Linked DNA regions of Tribolium castaneum. The protein of the gene in region 1 interacts with the protein of each later gene in a pairwise test. Links are inferred from orthologs where the notes say so. Each region holds a gene or a part of one and is shown in the gene's direction. Other genes may lie near its edges. The genes, in order: ci and Kap-alpha3.

The links.
Region 2: the proteins of ci (region 1) and Kap-alpha3 interact in a two-hybrid assay, tested with the Drosophila melanogaster proteins (2 studies listed by BioGRID). The link is inferred for Tribolium castaneum from reciprocal best matches to the Drosophila melanogaster genes ci and Kap-alpha3.

The regions. Positions count from the first base shown.
Region 1 is NC_087394.1:31,482,414-31,486,240, forward strand, and holds part of ci (transcriptional activator cubitus interruptus), read left to right. Parts: intron 1-1,026; coding exon 1,027-1,125; intron 1,126-1,175; coding exon 1,176-1,540; intron 1,541-1,596; coding exon 1,597-1,830; intron 1,831-1,879; coding exon 1,880-2,029; intron 2,030-2,083; coding exon 2,084-2,248; intron 2,249-3,827. UniProt on the Drosophila melanogaster protein: Has a dual function as a transcriptional activator and a repressor of the hedgehog (Hh) pathway. The full-length ci form (ciFL), acts as an activator (ciA) while ciR, its C-terminally truncated form, acts as a repressor. Involved in segment polarity.
Region 2 is NC_087398.1:4,900,194-4,904,120, reverse strand, and holds the start of Kap-alpha3 (importin subunit alpha-4), read left to right. Parts: upstream 1-1,632; 5' UTR 1,633-2,011; coding exon 2,012-2,074; intron 2,075-2,168; coding exon 2,169-2,867; intron 2,868-3,927. Other genes in the region: endonuclease/exonuclease/phosphatase family domain-containing protein 1, read left to right, coding at 1-158, 211-392, 444-674, 965-1,242.

The DNA.
Region 1 (3,827 bases):
TTTTGAAAGTTATCAAAGTATTTATTCCACGTAATTTCTTGCTGTGAGTAATATTTTGTTAGTAGTTGGAAAATTAGGAACTATCTTGTTATAATAATCCATTAAAAAATTGATAATTATAATTGTAATTGGTAAGTAAATGTAATTATTATTTTATAAAAAAAATGCATCAAGTGGCAACTTCCCTACAAAAACTCACTCACTGAAAATTATAAAGAAAAACCACCCGAACATTTCAATTGCGGTTAACCGCAACTATTTTACAAACATTACAGCAAACGTTATTTTCATTCCAGTAGTTTTTTTTTTATTTCATTTAAATCTTCTTATAAGACTTAATTTACATAAATTTCTTTGTATATTTTCTGAGTTCTGTGAGCCGCTAAACGACAGATAAGCAAAAAGTTTTATAAACTTTATAAAGAAAAGCGTTTTTATCATATACTCCGAATTTTGGAGCGTTTATGAATTTCACTGCTTTACAAAATTTTATCTTTCAACAATTTTCGCAAATATCTATTTTAGAGCACTTCTAGCGCAAATGAAAAGTATGTGCCTACTATATCTCATACACTAGAGCAGGTAGAAAAAATCTGCTGGCAGATTTGAAATCAGCATGCAACAGTTACTTTACAAAGGCAAAAAAAATCAGAAGCAACAGAGGAGAAAGTGGCTAAAAAAGCTGTGTATATTTTTCTTAATAAATGCTAAAATAGAAAATAAAATAGAAAATAAAGTTACCTATCACTCGAAAACTAAAGCTTATAAAAAAAGTCTGTTGTCTGTTTTGAAATCAGCACCCAATACAACAAAATCAGAGGCACCAAAAAGTGAATGATTAAATTTGTGTCCTTTCTTTAAACAAATGCTACTTGACTTTCCTACATTTCAAAAACTAGAGCTGATAGAAAAAATCTGTTGGGAGTCTGGAAATCAGCGTCCAACACTCAACAGCAGCAAAAAACCTGAGCCAACCTACTGTAAACTCGTGTTATTTGTTATAAAATTACTTTTTCCGATTTCCAGGACTGGGACTCTCTCCTGAATACCTCAGCGCGCGGGGCTTATCCGACCTGCATCCATCTTCGGCGTTGGCCAGCAGCGAATTTCCTTTTAGCATCGACGGTAATTAATCACTTACCGCACTGTGCTTTGTGTAATGTGCGCTTTGGCAGGTTCACGGCTGAACAGTCCCAGGCCGGGTAGCATAAGGCAGTCGCGAAAGCGGGCATTATCCTCCTCCCCTTACTCCGACTCCTTCGACATCAACTCCATCAGATACTCCCCCAACTCGCTGGTGTTGGTCAATGGTTCGAGGTCGTCGAGCGCGAGCGGCTCCTATGGACACCTTTCGGCCGGCGCCATCAGCCCTGCCTTCAACATGCACCCCGAACTGCACCTCCAGCAACTCCAAGCGCACCTCATGCGGAGCGCGGGCTCGCTCCTCCCGCTGCCGCCCGCCACCCCCACGCACTCCATGTACTCGCTCGGACACCACCCCCTGCACGTCTCCTCGCCCCACAACATTTCCAAGACTGATGTAAGCCAAAAAAAAATAACTACAAGGAACAGCAAAACAAAACAGTGATTTTTCAGGCCCTTAACGATAAGAAAAAATCTGAGACTGGTACCTTAACTCATCTAGATTCGGACGCACAAGCGCGGAAAATTAAAATTAAAAAAGAACCGAGTAATGCAGTCAGTGGGACGATTAACGAGGGACAAAACGACCAAACTGATCTCAAAGACGAACCTGGCGATTTTATCGAAACTAACTGTCATTGGAAGGATTGTGGTACCGAATTTCAGACTCAGGATGAGCTTGTTAAAGTATGTTTAATCAGGCTTTAAAACTATTTTTATTAATGCATGGTTGTAGCACATTAACAACGATCACATACATGCAAATAAAAAATCGTTTGTGTGCCGATGGGACGGGTGTTCGAGGGCAGAAAAGCCGTTCAAAGCGCAATATATGCTAGTGGTGCATATGAGGAGACACACGGGGGAAAAACCGCACAAGTGCACTGTAAATATTAATTTGGTGGTCCAATAATTTGGTTTATTAATTTGATTTTTGTAGTTTGAAGGTTGTGTTAAGGCCTATTCGAGGTTGGAGAATTTGAAAACGCATTTACGATCTCACACGGGTGAAAAACCGTACACTTGTGAATATCCTGGTTGTTCCAAAGCGTTCAGTAATGCTTCGGATAGGGCGAAACACCAAAACCGGACACACAGTAACGAGGTAAGTTTGTATTTTACGTGGAGTCGTTTGTTTACAAAGTTCTGATCGAATTGCTCACAAATTCGGAAGATTGAAGTAAGTACTAGAATAAGAAGGAAGGGTTCGGTAAGCTAGGAATTTCGGTCCCAAACCAACAATGGTAGTTTTTGTGCGATTAATTTTACTTACCGTTCTTGTACTCCAAAATACTTAACGTCGAGTCTGTGGTTTTGTAACAAGTAAATACGTCTTATTGTCTTGCAAGCAAACCTAGCAACAGTTAAACAAATGGAGACTACAGGTGAAGAACAAGAGATATCGAAACTTTTATTTTAGTTCAAGTTTTAAATTGTATTTAGCAGTTTAATTTATTACTTTAATTAATATCTTTTTTGCACGACTGATATTTCATGTATTTATCAACTAAAGAAAAAGAAACAAATAATAATTTCCTTCGTTCTATCTCTGGGAAGGACACAGCAGTTTTTTCATTTTTCTTACTTTTGCTTTTTGTCTCTTTAGTTTAAATTCTTAAAAAAATGCATTCCTTGTTTTTCCTTATGGTCTTCAAAAAAGTTGTTCATCATTAGTTAAACGGATACCCAGATATTAGGATACGATGCATTGGATTTTGGGACAAAAAAATCTAAATCCGCCTTTAAATTGAAAATTTTTAATAATAATAATAATAACCTTTATTGGAAAAATACAACAAACAATGAACAAATTAATCTAATACAACAATTAAGGTAAAATTCAATAAAAATAATAATAATAATAATACTAAAACAATAATAAAATAATAAAATACAAGTGATGAGATGTTATTATTGACAGAAAGAAAACTGATTGAAAAAATTTATGGATATTATTTAATTTGCAGAAGCAGAAAGAATAATATCATTTGTGTTTTTTTAAGCTTTTTTCGTCGTTTAAAGTTGTACTGGTTTTACATTCTCCAGTAAAAATTATCACGCTTAGAAACGTATAATCTTAAAATATAGATGAATGTATTAAACCAACATCCTCACACTTCTTTCGATCAGCTTATCTTTTACACTGTCTTCTGATGAAAAGATGAAGCCACACATACAAAAACTGTTAGAAATAATCTGTCGATATTATTTCACATGCCAATTATTAGAATTGGTGATTCTTTTTAAGAGATGTTACGTGACTTTGCTTACAAACTTCTTAAGCTCAAAAGTCTAAATCCAAAAAAAATACAATTAATCAAAAACACGTGTTTTTTGTTTTACTTTGCGCACGGTAATGTCAAGATTTCTAAACATCAGAATAGGTATTAATAATTATTAATTTGCAGTTTAAAACCTTTCGAATGTATTTTTCATCTCGATCTTAAGGTCTCGATAAAAAACCTAATATTATCAAGCTCAAAAAAAACCTTGGCTTTCCGTATTTAATACAAAAATAAGTATTTTAAATAAAGAAATACTTGTATTAATATTCAAATCTTTCTAAAAGACGTAACAGTACTTTATGGTACAAAATTAAAAACTTAAAATTTTTGATAAGTGATAATGTTAACATTGATAACACACGTATAACGAAGAATAAAACACAAGAATAAAACTATTTC
Region 2 (3,927 bases), on another chromosome or scaffold:
TATTCTCCCCGACCGACTGGTCAGGAAATTTTCAATTTCACGCGGAAAGGAGAGCCAGCGATACGAATCGGAGTATGGAATTTGCACGAATTTACATTTGAGAAAGCTAACAATCCCGGAGTTAGGGAAGTCGTGTGTCGGACGATTTTGGAGAACGGGTTTGTAGAAAAAACATCGTGTGAAGCACAGGTTTTGAGGAAATTGTTCCAGACTATCGATATTAGCCGTCCAAGAGGTAGTTAATGTCACAGCAATGAAATTAATTTGTGATGAGCTCAACAAGCCAAGGTTGAGACGAGTCAACGAGTGGAAAGATAAAAACCATAACTGGAATTTTTGTATGCTGGATGTAGATGGGTCCCAGTTAGGTTTTATCTATGACTCAGATGGAGGTGCAACACTACCTATTTCTAATTTTATTTTTATGACTAATTTGTTTCCAGTGATTGATATTGAACTGATATCACTGAACCAAGGTCCACAAGAAACAAGCGATGACTGCGAAGTTCTCATAGCAAGTTTCAAAGTCGGCGATTTAGACTTACAACTAGTTAACATGAAACTAAACAAAAAGGCGAAACTGGACGTGTTGCAGGAAAAAATAAAAGATCTAATTTCCGAAGAAGACATGCTTTTATTGTTTGTAGACTTTTCAGCTATTCCTAACATAACAGGTAAACTGCTGATAACATAACTAAACATGCAAATATTTTTTAACGAAATTGCCAATTAAGTTGCATAATTACTTACATCACAGCCTTGATGGATGGGAACTTCGTTCTTAGACGGCTGGTCGGGTCAAGCAGGCTGTGCCACCTAAGAGGGCGACATCTTACGTCAAATATAATTGTCAATTCTGATAGTAGTGAAATTAGGCATGCAATGCGAAGTTAGCGACAAGCCGTAAAAAACGAAGTTCTCTATCTATCAAGGAGGCTGTGAATGACAGTGGGCGTGTTTGCAGACGACTGGTTGACAATCGGGGGTCTCCAAGCAGCCTTTCCGAGTTCGATGAACACGAGTTATTTGCGATCGAAGTTGGGTTTAAAACCACAACACATATCAAATATTTTATGTAACAACAAAATCCAAGGGCAAGTTACGGGTATTAATGGGGTGGTACAGCAAGGTTTGACCCATTTGGCCATTCCCAATGGGTGGAATTGGGGCGGACCGGCGTCTCCTTTTTGCCCCGTCTGGATGGAATTGTTTCTAAACCCCAATTCTGGGACGGCGTTGTGATATTATCTTATTTTGTATTTAATTTTATTTATTTTTGACTGGGTATACTTCACGTAAATTTTACAAATTTATGGCTGTGTGTCGGACGGTTTTATTTCTAAGCTTTAAAGACAAATATGTGGGGGCACAGATGATTTTATTTTGAAATTGTGTTTTTGTTCAGAAATTTTCAAAAAAATTAGCGGGCGAATTTTGCAATAAAGGGCCCCGATTTCGTACTCCCTGTACTGTAACAACTTAGTCTTGTATTTGTAATTATTTAATAAATATTATTTTATTAACAGTGAGTTTTATTTATCACAAGTTCGGTCCAACAAACAATCGAGTGCGTAAGCACCGCACGTGAAAAGTGTGACCTTGACATCAGCGTGCCAACTTTAAAAACTGAAAGTTTTGCCGAAATTATTGCAAATAAAGGTGTAGTGTCCATTGAAACAATAAATTTGGCTTGATTTTGAGCCTACAGTGAAAAGTTGTGGTTTTAATGTTAATAAGGTTTAGATTGTGTTAATTTTCCCGATCAGCTGTCCTTCCGTTGTGTTTGCCACCGTGCGCGCAACCTGTGCAACCGATCTTTGTAGCAAATGGGTATGAAAAAAATACCCAAATTACGTTAAATCAGTCGGTAATTTTGTGATAATCGCGTCCGAACGTTTCCCCCTTCATTTTTCATGTTATCATAACGCCAAATCGAGTCTTTTACGTTTTAAGAGCGCCACCCGGCTTTTCCTCGTGTTTTCATCAGCCCTCCATTGTCAAATCTATCAAAATGGCGGATACAGGTTACAAGAATCGCATCCAGAATTTCAAGAACAAGGGAAAAGACCAAGATGTAAGTACCCCGCCCTTCCTTGCGCCCCACCGGCTCCCTTACTCCCGAAACACCCGTCCGGTGCGCCCCTTCTGACCGCCCCGTGTGCCCCCAGGAAATGCGAAGACGGCGCAACGAGGTCACCGTGGAATTGCGCAAGAACAAGCGCGAGGAGACCCTCCAGAAGCGCCGCAATGTCCCCGTGGTGGACTCCACCGACGAGGACGACATCGAGAAGTCGCTCTCCACCACGAACTTGGAAGAACTGGTGGCGCAAGCGGCCGCTATCGACAACCCCCCGCTGCAGCTGATGGCGATCCAAACCGCGCGGAAGTTGCTGTCTTCAGACAGGAACCCCCCGATCGACGCCCTCATCTCCAGCGGGATCCTGCCGGTCCTGGTGATGTGTCTCGAACGGTATGACGAGCCCTCGTTGCAGTTTGAGGCCGCCTGGGCGCTCACGAACATCGCCTCGGGCACGTCCGCGCAGACCAACAGGGTGGTGCAAGCGGGGGCCGTGCCCCTCTTCCTGAAGCTGCTGCACTCGCCCCAGCAGAACGTCTGTGAACAGGCCGTTTGGGCCCTGGGGAATATCATCGGCGATGGGCCGCAGTTAAGAGACTATGTTATCGAGCTCGGTGTTGTTAATCCACTTCTCTCGTTCATTAAACCCGACGTTCCGATTTCGTTCTTGAGGAACGTCACCTGGGTTATTGTTAATTTGTGTAGGAACAAGGATCCCCCGCCGCCTATACAGACTATTAGGGAGTTGTTACCCGCCTTGAATGCGCTTATTCACCACACAGATACCAATGTGAGTATGTACCAGAAAAGAGTCACAAAGGTGAGCAGTCTCATACTTTGCGTTACGTGTGAAAAAAATATAAAAAAGGGAAGAAAAAAAAAAGTTCACCTTTAATGACGTCTGAGTTTTAAAAATGTTGGATTCAACGGTGCGAGATTGGTGTCAAGGTCGCAATTTATTCTTTGTCCATTTTAATGATTTGCAAAAATACGTCTTCATCATTATTTTCGGTTGTTTTGTTAGTATTGATTACGACGTAATAAACAAAACAGTACTTTGGCTCTATAAACAAATTTTACGTTGGCAGAATCATTCATAAAATTTTCATTAATTAAAAGTTCAGAAGTAGGTCAGCTATAATTGTTTTCACTTATTAGGAGGTGTGACTCAGGTTTTTGTGACTCAAACCGGGGTTGTTTATAGAATATGAAGTTAAATTAAACAAGAAATATTTTCTTTACATTTAAATTATTCTTACCGATGGTCACATAGTCACAAAAACGTTATCAAGAATCAAGAATTACGAGATATCAAGAAAGACAATTTTACAAATAAAATATTTGTTTGAGATGCTGTCAAAACATTCTGGGATAATTAACATTTATTCTCACTTGTATAGAAGGGTTCTATAAATAATTGAAAGAAAAACCCTGGTTTCAGTGTCAGTAACAGAAACTGAAAGTTTGAAATTTTTTAGACGTTGGAATTTTATTTTAAAACTTTTCCATGTCCTTCTCGTCTGAAAGTAGATTTTTAGTCTCTTTGGCGACAAATTTCAAAGGCAAAATAAGCCTTGATAATTTTCGTAGGCTTGATTCGTCAGTCCTTAGATAACATTGTCAGGAATGTTGCATAAATAATAAATAAAAAAATATGAAGACATTGGAAGCTACTTAACATAAACAATTAAAAATGGATTTTTGTTATGTGGTGTAGTGGCAGCAATAACAAACAGTGTGGTTAATTTATTTGCGGTTTGTTTTTTGTACTTTTTAATGAAACGTGAAAATATTTATGTACATAATACTATTAAGATTTTTTATTAATTATAACAGATTCCTTACCTTTG